Saccharomyces cerevisiae S288C: one gene and its partners. The gene in region 1 interacts genetically with each later gene. Each region holds a gene or a part of one and is shown on either strand. Other genes may lie near its edges. The genes, in order: MMT2, SMF3 and FET5.

The links.
Region 2: mutations in MMT2 (region 1) and SMF3 impair growth when combined (synthetic growth defect), as found in Saccharomyces cerevisiae (one study listed by BioGRID).
Region 3: mutations in MMT2 (region 1) and FET5 impair growth when combined (synthetic growth defect), as found in Saccharomyces cerevisiae (one study listed by BioGRID).

The regions. Positions count from the first base shown.
Region 1 is NC_001148.4:126,077-129,702, forward strand, and holds MMT2 (Mmt2p), read right to left. Parts: upstream 2,013-3,626; coding exon 558-2,012; downstream 1-557. Other genes in the region: ribosome-associated Tef1p biogenesis chaperone CHP1, read left to right, coding at 1-370; GRE1 (Gre1p), read right to left, coding at 2,556-3,062. UniProt on the Saccharomyces cerevisiae protein: Mitochondrial metal transporter involved in mitochondrial iron accumulation.
Region 2 is NC_001144.5:210,334-214,091, forward strand, and holds SMF3 (putative divalent metal ion transporter SMF3), read right to left. Parts: upstream 1,601-3,758; coding exon 179-1,600; downstream 1-178. Other genes in the region: mismatch repair protein MLH2, read right to left, coding at 2,036-3,758. UniProt on the Saccharomyces cerevisiae protein: Has a role in controlling the cellular iron ion levels. Mobilizes vacuolar stores of iron in conditions of low iron levels.
Region 3 is NC_001138.5:47,272-51,029, forward strand, and holds FET5 (ferroxidase FET5), read left to right. Parts: upstream 1-1,867; coding exon 1,868-3,736; downstream 3,737-3,758. Other genes in the region: LAM5 (Lam5p), read right to left, coding at 1-473; YFL041W-A (uncharacterized protein), read left to right, coding at 1,463-1,654. UniProt on the Saccharomyces cerevisiae protein: Iron transport multicopper oxidase, which is required for Fe(2+) high affinity uptake. May be required to oxidize Fe(2+) and release it from the transporter. Essential component of copper-dependent iron transport.

The DNA of each region.
Region 1 (3,626 bases):
TGAACAAGCGGAAACATATTGGAAACTATTAACAAGTGTTCCCGGTTCCAAGTTACGTTTGACTAAGTTTGATGACGAAATATACGAGAATTTTATGGAGAGATTCCCAGAATACAAAGATGTTGAAAGGGTCAAAAAGTTTACGGAGGAAGAATTAAAAACAAAAGAAGCCAAGGAAAGATGGAGAAAGTTCTTCACAATTTTTGAGAAAAAAATCGAAGACTATAACTTTGGTACTTTGTTGAGGACAGACGCTTCAGCCGAGTATGGTCAATTTACTACTTGTTTTGTCGTGAGACTACAATTTTACGCTTTTGAAATTGCTAGAAATAAACACGGCTTGAACGATTGGATTGTCGGTCAGAAATGAACATGCATATATATTTGTGATTGATTATATAGAATACATTACTTTATACAAAGGAACAACACAAGGCATTCTTCCTTGTTCAACATATATATATATACATATATATATTAAGCTCAGTAAATTGTTGAAATGTGAAAGGCTGTACTTTTGCTCTTAACTTTTGAAAAAATTCATCATTGAGAATTCCCTAATGTTTATGGGTGTGAGTATCGGCAGAATCAGAATGAGTATGAGTATGATTTGTTGATTTAGTGTCATGAGAGTGCTCCAAATCACCTTTAGAGTCAGAGGTTACATCAACAAACTCGACGTCCACCTTCCCCACGTTTGGCACCTTCATACGTAAATCCTCTCTTATAGTCGAAATAGCGTTTTCCAAAAATCTTATCCCAACTTCCTGACCTGAATGTAATACTGGCACTTCCAAAGTTGTGGTGGCACGAAGATTAGGACCGGAAGCTAATATAGTAAGGTCTCTAACATGTAACGACTGTTTGAGATCTAAGTCTGTTTTCAAACTGCCAATGCTGTCTTTTATGACAGATTCGATTTCTAGATAACGCGGATCAGTAGGTGGTATAGATTGGTCAACTAACTCCTTCAGTGAGGATAAGATACCTTGTCCACCTGTTTTTATGATCAAACCTGACACTACAAGCCCACCTAAATTATCTAAGGATTGAATGTTGAAAAAATAACTAGATGTGATAGCGACCAACGCTACCAACGATGTCAAGGAGTCAACACGATGATGCCAGGCGTTTGCCATTAGTACATTAGAATTTGTTTGGATTGCAACTTTCTTTGTTGCCTGAAAAACCCATTCTTTAACCAAGATAGAACCCGCTGCTATCCATACAGCATTTACATTAGTTGCCTGTTGTGTTAGCGACTGAGAATGGGAATGCGTTTCACCAATTAAACCGGCCATCGATTCTAGAATGGCATGAGGAATGACAGGCCCCACAATAGCGCATAACGACGACCAACCGATAGATATACCAGCCATTGCTAAGATTGTGGATACTGCCAAAGATCCCACAGTTTCCACTTTACCATAGCCATATGGGTACTCCGAAGTTGGTTTACGAGACGCATATTGGACAGAAAACAGTGTTAAAAAATCAGATACCAAATCGCTAAGAGCATGTACGGAATCAGCAAGTAATGCTTGAGAATGAAAAGTGATTCCTCCTACAAATTTTCCTACTGCCATCCCCACATTTGATGCAAGTCCTATCCATGTTATTCTTACGCCAGGATTCTTCTTGATCTGCTGTACGTTCAGTGACAATAAAGGATTGTCATGCATATGTGTGTGGCTGTGACTATGAGTATGTTGCAACAACGACTTCACAGAGGAAGCCTTGCCTTCCTTCTTTCCTTCACTTTCATTCTGTCTGGAATTCGATCCATTCTGTGAAGACATTTTTGAAATGAGCTGTTCATTATAGCCCTCTTCTTGACCTTCTTTATTTAGCAGTTTCGAAGAATGCAGGCACCTTCTCGGGTTGGCTGAGATCATTGTACTGTACAGGCTTGATGTTCTTATGGCCCTCCCGGCAGCATGGTAACTAGTGTTGTTATAACCTGGCACAAAGGAACCGAATTGCTTGATAGAGTCAATACTTATCCGTAGCATATCTTTATTGCGTTTGCTTTTTTGAGAAAGTAATTGCTTACACGTTCTAGAATAAAAAAGTATGGTTGTAAGAACGCACTTGAAAAGGCACCAATCTGCTCGGGTTTTTACAACTAACACTAACCTAGATGAGAGGTAAAAAGAAATCGTAAAAAAAAGTTGTTGCCCAGCACAATAACGACACTTTACCCGCTAATTCCAGGAGGTTTGAGTTAGACAACGACCTTCCCACCCCGTTTTCCCATAATTCTATTGTTATACACCTGGATCTGGAGGTCCGTGAAACGGCATACCTCGACGAAAAAGGTCACTACTAATCAAATCAAACTGACATTAATAAAAACGTATAAACTGACAGCTGTAGATCTAAATAAACTAGATTAAACATATGAAATAGTTTGTAAAAAGTGGCATCATGACCAATAATAGGTCCAGATGAAGAAAAAAGAAAAAAGAAGACGAAATTAGGGTAAAATTTCTCACTTGCTGCTCAAGGGTGAGACCCGCACCTCAGGCATGTAATAGAAGCTTCGACCACCGCATCTACCAGACGCCTTGGTTCCCACTATCATCATCATATTCATCGTTTCCTGACCCAGACAGATCGCGTCTACCGCTGCCGATATTAGAGGATTGGTAGCGGTTACTTTGAGCACCTCTTGTACGACCTTGTTTTTGCTGTTGGCCCGAAGTCAAGAAGTCATCGTCTTCATCGTCGTCCAACTGACCTTGAGTGTTAGTTTCGCGGTAAGTTTGGGTATAAGTGCCACCACCAGTGCCGGCAGTGTAGTCAGTAGTTTGTTGCTGGAAGTCGTTACCGCCAAACTGCGTGTTACCGCCTAGATTAGACTGTGGCTGCTGGCGTTGAGGGAAATTCCCTTGGTTTTCTTCGCCGTAGGGATCGGCCTTGGATCCTTGATTCCTGAATTCCCTCTGTTGATGTTTTTCATGACGCTGTTGTCTAGTCTGGTCGTCATTGTCGTCTTCGTAACGTTCATCATGATCGTTGCCGTGCAACTTATCAGCAAACTTGTTTAATAGATTGGACATTTCTTAATTGTTATTCGTACTTAGCTTTTATGCGGTAGTGTTTGGCTCTGCTGCTAGTAGATATTAAGAGTTGAGGGTAGGTATGTATCCTTTTTTTGATGAAATAGTAATGTGCTTTTATAGTCCAAGAAATATTGACTGCTTCAAGGGAGCCTGATTAACAAGCACGTAACGGAGACCAAAAAAAGGATTTCGGTCTTTTCTAACCATTTCCCTTTACTCCCTTGTGCGTTATTTGTTTTGATTACTAGGCATGATGTATGGAGGAACTTGCGATCAAATGTCATAAAAGTGGAGGAGTGAAAAGAAATGACGAAGCCCAAAACGTGGTCCTAGAATTACCACATTTCCTTTTTCTAAAGGAAGCCAGACTATGCTTTACGCAAGAACTGTGGTTAAAGAGGGATATTCTGATGAACATAAATTCATACACATTCATGAGAAGCACGACAAGGATTGGTTAATTACTTACAACTAAGGCAAAACTGCCATTGACCTCATCTGTACCACCACATGCTGTGTAGTTATTTTCCCTTTGTGATCCCTAAAAAAGATGGGATCTAC
Region 2 (3,758 bases), on another chromosome or scaffold:
GCTCATCAAGTCTTTTTTGACTAATGTATGTTTATATTTTGATATTAGATAAAGTATGCATTTGTTCTGAAGGCTATGCATACGTAAGTATATACTTGGGTTGTATTATGCAGAATAAAGAAATGAGAGAAAACAAGAATCGAGAGAAAACGACACACTTGACAATAAATAGGTTCCATTAAAAATGGATGTCGGCACCTAAGAGATAGGAAATCACCAAATAGCAATTCAAGCTCCCGATTAAAGCCCATACGAAAACAGAGGTATAGGTCAACAAACGACTGTTAGTAAAATCAACTATTTTACTGTGCTTGGAGTTCAATGGAGTGGTTTCATCAGCAATGGCGTTAACATCGGCAGGTGCTCTTACCACACCATTTTCGTCATGAACAACCATCAACTTTCTATTTGCGGTAAAATAAATTAAAGGAGCGGATACGATTGGTAAAATTAAGGACAAGACCACTTGAGAAAAATTCAAAATATCTGAAATTCCCTTTTCCCCCATGGTTAAAGTAACAAATAAACATGGTACAATGGCAATCAATCTGGTGCACAATCTTGTGGCCCAAGGTGGTAAAGACCACTGTAAAAATCCCTCAGAAACGATTTGCCCGGCAAGTGTACAGATGATACCGGCAGATTGACCAGAACATAACATGGCCAATGCAAAGATTAACCCTGCCGCAGGAGATATGTAGTGGACCAGTAATTTGTAAATAGATAACAAATCAGCATCCTCTGCCTCAGGTTGGCCTGATAAAGTAGCACCTGCAACAATTAAAATAGCGGAATTAACAAAGGTGGCAATTAAGAACAAAGAAATGATTAGTTCAGCGTACGCATAGTTTAACGTATATTTTATAGCGCTTAAACTTGGGCGGGCATTAACCTTACCGTATTTCTTCAAATCGTAATCGTGCAATCTTGGTTTAACAATGGATGAGCCCAAGTATAATGAATGAGGCATCACAGTGGCACCTAAGATACCCAATGAAATGTAAAGAGCTTGTTGTTCCTTAAAAATGATATTTGAAGGCAAAAACCCTTTAAACAATTCAGCTTTGTCTGGGATTGAAACTTTAAACAGCTCCAAAACAAAGCAAATGCAAGTTCCAATGACCAAAATCCCAACGCCAAATTCGAAAACCCTAACTTTTTTTAAGGACTGGCCGTTTGGTGTGTAGAACATTAAAATTACCAAAACATCTAGCACCGTTAATAAGACACCCCAAGTTAGTGGTATTTTGAAAAGAATTTGTAAAGCGATGGCAGTGCCTACAACCTCGGCCAGATCAGTAGCAATGATTGCCACTTCAGCGAAAAGGTAAAGGGTATAGTTTAGCTTTTTAGGCAAATTATGACGACAGTTTTCAGCCAAATCATAGCCAGTGATAGTACCCAGCTTCACACAGAGACATTGCAAAAGTACGGCAAAAATGTTGGATATAAAAATAGAGAATAATAAGGTATATTTGTATTGAGCACCACCGGAAACACTAGTGGCATAATTTCCTGGGTCCATATAAGCCACACTGACTAATATCCCTGGCCCAATAAATTTGGCAAATTTTTGAAGAATCTGCATATAAGATCGCATTTTTTTTCTCTTGTGATGCTACTACTGTTATCAATTAGCTTGGAAGAACGATATATTTAAAGGAGTTCAGAAGGAAATAATAGTTTGGGTATGACAACTGAAAAAAAAAATGAACTAATATATAAAGGAACCCCGTATATTTATGTGGAGTGATCTTTGTCTTCTAGCTCCTTTGAAATAAATATTCAATTATGCAACCTCACAGAATCAGATGAATGAGATATATACAGTATAAATACCTTTAGTCGCATGACAACAGGATGTCGTAACAATGCAATATTAGAGCATTTTTAAGTTGACCCAAAACGGAAATTTCAAGGTGCGGAAACTGGAAGAGAGGCAGGGCGGGCAACAGGGTGCGGTTACCATGAGTTACAAACAATGGTCTATTATGAAGTAATCTATTGTGCTGAGTGGTGATAGTGCACCCGATCATCAGGGGCTGTCTGGCGTGAAGAGGCACCATTCATTTGTCGTGGCTTCAATGTGTCCCGGTTTCTTCACATGCGCTCGCAAGGCTTGCAAAAGACTGGAAGAAGGGCTTGTGGCATCGTCCCTCGATCGTAACCACAGAGTTTCTTTGGCAAAGTTATCGCTGTCATGCTTAACAATTTTTTCATTCTTCAGGGTATAGACGTAGTTGTTGGTATACTCGGAAAAATGCATGAGTTTCGGCCTTGTTTTGTGCATGCAGGATGCTTTCTTTATATAATTATCAGTTACTTTTTTTTTCGAATTTCGTGGAATGGTCATGTCCACGGTATTGTTTCTTTTACCGTAGGTTTGCTGAAGCTTTATTAGTTCCTTTTTTTCTGTATTTGAAAGCTGTCTTTCGTTGGGCATTCCCCTTTTATTGGCATCTCCACAGCTAGTACGTTTGGCCTCAAGTAAGTTTTCGCTCAGTTTCTTGTTGACGTTTCTTATTTTTGTGATCATAAAAGGATTAGAAATAGAAGCGTCCTTAGAAAGTTCTAAATCCTCGTTCTCTGGAATAGTTTCTATATAGTTATAAGTTAATGACGAGGGTAATGTTGAGGATCCAGCTCCTGCTACTTCACTATTTTCGCTTAGTTCTTGTTGGAAATTATGTCGCCAATTAGTACTGTCCTCGGAAGCCATAGACCCGGAACTCGAGCTTCTATAACTTGAAATGGTCAGCTGAGTTTGTTCGTCAAGAGCTTTATCCTCGCTAAATTTTGTAGGTGAAGGAGTAGCAGCGACAATGGTCGTATTCTCTAAGTTTGCTTCATCGTAAAAAGTTGGTACTATCAAATCTGAGTTTTTTTGTGGGATGTCAGTCTTGTCTTTACCACTAACAGCACCACAGCCCTTTGATATTTCATTCTCTGCGTCGGGTGTAGGTATCACCAGTGCGGGAGAAGTTTTTTCGTTGATAGAAGGCTGAACATGTTTATCTCCCAGCATATTTGTTTCGATGCCAATTCTCTCCTCCAATAACAACTTTAACTTATTCTCTATCTTCTTAAATATCACTTCAAAACTTTTGATCATCACGTCATTTTTCTCTGGTTCGATATTTACGTCAAGAAGCTTTGTATCGCAATTTAAATTAATAAACCAAACCATAGGATCTAGTAAAGAGAAATCTCTATAGATTGACGATAGTAACTTAGAAATAGTCTTCCCCGTCTCCAAGTTCAAAGATAGCGCTCTCTCATTAACAGATAAAAATTTAAATCGTCTCTTTATATTAATAACGTCAGATTCTGGCACCATCCTCGGTAAGATCAAATCTAAATTTATTTTTTCGTCGATAACAAAGTTTTCTTCTACAATAAAGTTCAGCGGCACAGGCTTTTTTAGTCTAGCTAGTAGGGACAAACTTCTAGCTCTAGAAATCTTAGGGTCTAACGTTTCTTGCATTTGTTTACGCTCTATGGCACCATTTTTTTGTAATGACACCAACGAAAAATAAAACCGAATATTTCTATGAATTAGAGAATAATGGTTTATTAAATAGATTAGTTCATCGAATGTTTTTCTTGGCCTCGAAGAAATTTCGAGATACCTTGCTCGTAACCCTCCCAGAAGTTTCCTTAATATTACTGTAGTCCCCACGGGACAAGATACCTTGTACCTTTTTCCATTGGTAATACCACCCTTACTATCAACTAACCATTTTTCTCCAATGACATCA
Region 3 (3,758 bases), on another chromosome or scaffold:
TCAGGCTTTTCCACCTGTTGCAAGGGAGAGCCTATTTCAGCAATTGTGGCATTACTGATACGGCGGCTTGATCTTCTTTTGGACCCCATGGAAGGCTCCCTTCTATGTGATATAATGCTTGGTTGCGAAACTGGCGAAGTTGGCGTAGTTGATCTAGAAACTGGGGATGGCACGTTTGACTTAAACGAAGAGATCATTCCACTGAAGAACGAGGACGTCGAAGAAGTCCTTGATTGATCGTGCTTGATCTCTGTAGGGTGTTCATCGGCGGCACTTTGGTTTGTAATCACTACTAAATTCTTGCGTACGTCGTTGGTCTCTGTATTTAGGGGCACTTCTTGCAGTGACTCAGCTTCAGTATCGCCGGCATTGTCATTGTTACTTGCATGCTCAAAGGGGGGACCCAATTGTTTCACAGAATCAGTACTGTCCTCATTATCTGATACGGGTTCCCAGTTATCTACATCCGACATCACCACTAATCTTTTTGTGTAGTTGCCTTCTTCACCCTTTTCTCAGATAGCGAAATGGTTGAGTGTTTTAATATAATTGTCAAGATGCTTTATGAAAAAGGGTGGGAGAAACAAGTCCCCCTGCTCAGCGATACGCGATCTCTCTGATCTCAGACATAAAGCAAACATTCTATCATGAGTGACATTGAGGATGACGGTAATTGGTAATATCTGACCTTCTGACCTCCACTCAACACAATGCAGAAAGCTATCAAATGTTTTGAACCAAACATGAAAGAGATTCAGAAAGTTGCCAAGCCAACGTGATGTCACAGGTCAAAGTTTAAGTGAAGGCTATTGGAATCTGCGGATCAGACATTCACTACTACACGGATGGCCAGGTCAGCGTAAAGTAACCTGGGAAGCCCATGACTTTGGGCCACGAATCCAACGGTGCTGTTCTTGAAATTGAAGTATCTCAAACTACTGTAAAGCGGGTGATGCAGTAAGCATATAGCCCTCATACCCAAATAGGTTTACCAAAGAGTTTCTGTGAGGCCATTATAGTTTGCAGCTCAACATACCATTTGCTGCATCACTGACCGTGACGGCACCCTTTGTCAAGAGTTCGTGGTTAACGTCGACTGCGTTTACTGATTACCGTTACAGTGAATTTCTAGCAAGAGTCCTCTGTAGATGCCACTATTTGTCGCTCTCCATGTAGTAAGGCCGTCCTAGCTGAAGTGTGGGGAGTAAGCTGTAGTTATAGGTGCTGGAACAATTGATCTGCTGGCGGGTGCGGTACTCAGAGGGTTTGGTGTTCATGAGTACACATGATTCCAAGAAAGAGCAAAATGGACAGTTTATAAACGCTATGAAGAACTGCTATAATCAGAAAAAAAGGAAGCCTGATGGATTCGAGTCCTCAGGTACTCAAAAGAGCGTTGAGAATATGCTAAAATGTGTCAAGAACGGTGGAACAGTTAAGTAGGTTGATATCCACCCCTCGAATGAAAATGTGGGGACCCTCCCAACGAGATTCCTTCAGAGAGATTACATATAAAGTGAAATTCAAGTATGACGATGGTGACTACTCCTTGGCCATTGATTTGATGTCTAGGGATTGTATTAATGTCTATGAGTTGATTACCGATAGGCTACTGGTTGATTTCCTTTCAAAAAAGCTGCTCAAGCTAAGATAGGTAAGGTGTTTATAGAATTTATCGAACTGTATCTAAATATTTTTAATATTCTTGTTTTATTACTTTGTGGCTTTTGTATTCAGTCTGCACCCTGTTTCGCCATCGATTCTTATAATACATACATTTTTATATAAGATCACAGAAAATACGAAGACGTAAAAAAAGAGTTCCGAATGAAAGAAGAAAGAATCAAGCACAGGAAGACAAGAAACGATGTTGTTCTACTCGTTCGTGTGGTCTGTACTGGCCGCTAGTGTTGCTTTGGCAAAGACACATAAGTTAAACTATACCGCTTCTTGGGTAACTGCCAATCCTGATGGATTGCATGAAAAAAGGATGATTGGTTTTAATGGCGAATGGCCACTTCCAGATATCCATGTTGAAAAAGGAGATCGTGTTGAGCTTTATTTGACTAACGGCTTTCAAGACAATACTGCTACTTCTCTACATTTCCATGGTCTTTTCCAGAATACGAGTTTGGGGAACCAGCTTCAAATGGATGGTCCTTCTATGGTGACACAATGTCCCATCGTTCCGGGACAAACATACCTGTACAACTTCACTGTCCCAGAGCAGGTAGGAACGTTCTGGTACCATGCACACATGGGTGCCCAGTACGGTGACGGTATGAGGGGTGCATTTATCATCCACGATCCGGAGGAGCCCTTCGAATATGATCATGAACGAGTCATCACTCTATCGGACCATTATCACGAAAATTATAAAACGGTTACCAAAGAGTTTCTGTCAAGATATAATCCAACCGGTGCTGAACCTATTCCTCAAAATATTCTTTTTAATAATACGATGAATGTAACTTTAGATTTTACACCCGGTGAAACGTATCTCTTCAGGTTCTTGAACGTTGGGCTGTTTGTATCCCAGTATATCATTCTTGAGGATCATGAAATGAGTATAGTAGAGGTGGACGGTGTTTACGTAAAGCCAAACTTTACTGATTCGATATATCTTTCTGCGGGGCAAAGAATGAGTGTGTTGATTAAAGCTAAAGATAAAATGCCTACAAGAAACTACGCTATGATGCAAATAATGGATGAGACGATGCTTGATGTTGTCCCACCTGAGTTACAACTCAACCAAACTATCCAAATGAGGTATGGCCACTCGTTGCCGGAGGCACGCGCATTGAACATTGAAGATTGTGACTTGGACCGCGCCACGAATGACTTTTACCTAGAACCTCTGATTGAGAGAGACCTACTTGCTCACTATGACCACCAAATTGTCATGGATGTAAGAATGGTCAACTTGGGTGATGGTGTGAAGTATGCATTTTTCAATAATATCACTTACGTCACACCAAAGGTGCCTACTTTGACAACGTTGCTTACCTCAGGAAAGCTTGCGTCAGATCCTAGAATTTATGGTGATAATATCAATGCGCAGTTATTGAAACATAATGATATCATAGAGGTTGTTCTAAACAATTATGATTCTGGCAGACATCCATTCCATTTGCACGGTCATAATTTCCAAATAGTCCAAAAGTCGCCAGGGTTCCATGTTGATGAAGCTTATGACGAATCTGAGCAAGATGAAATGACCGTCCCTTATAACGAATCTGCGCCATTACAACCGTTCCCTGAGAGGCCGATGGTGAGAGATACAGTGGTTCTTGAACCTAGTGGACATGTTGTCCTGAGATTTAGAGCTGACAACCCTGGTGTCTGGTATTTCCATTGTCATGTAGATTGGCACTTACAACAAGGTTTGGCTTCGGTCTTTATTGAGGCACCCGTTTTACTTCAGGAAAGGGAAAAGCTTAATGAGAACTATCTGGATATATGCAAAGCCGCTGATATTCCGGTAGTTGGTAATGCTGCAGGTCATTCGAATGATTGGTTTGACTTAAAAGGATTACCAAGACAACCTGAGCCACTACCAAAGGGATTTACTACTGAAGGATATTTGGCATTGATTATTTCAACCATTATCGGTGTCTGGGGCCTATATTCCATTGCTCAGTATGGTATTGGCGAGGTTATCCCTAACGATGAGAAGGTGTACCACACGTTAAGGGAAATCTTGGCTGAAAATGAAATAGAGGTTTCTCGCGGCTAATTAAACAAGAAAATATAAAAGA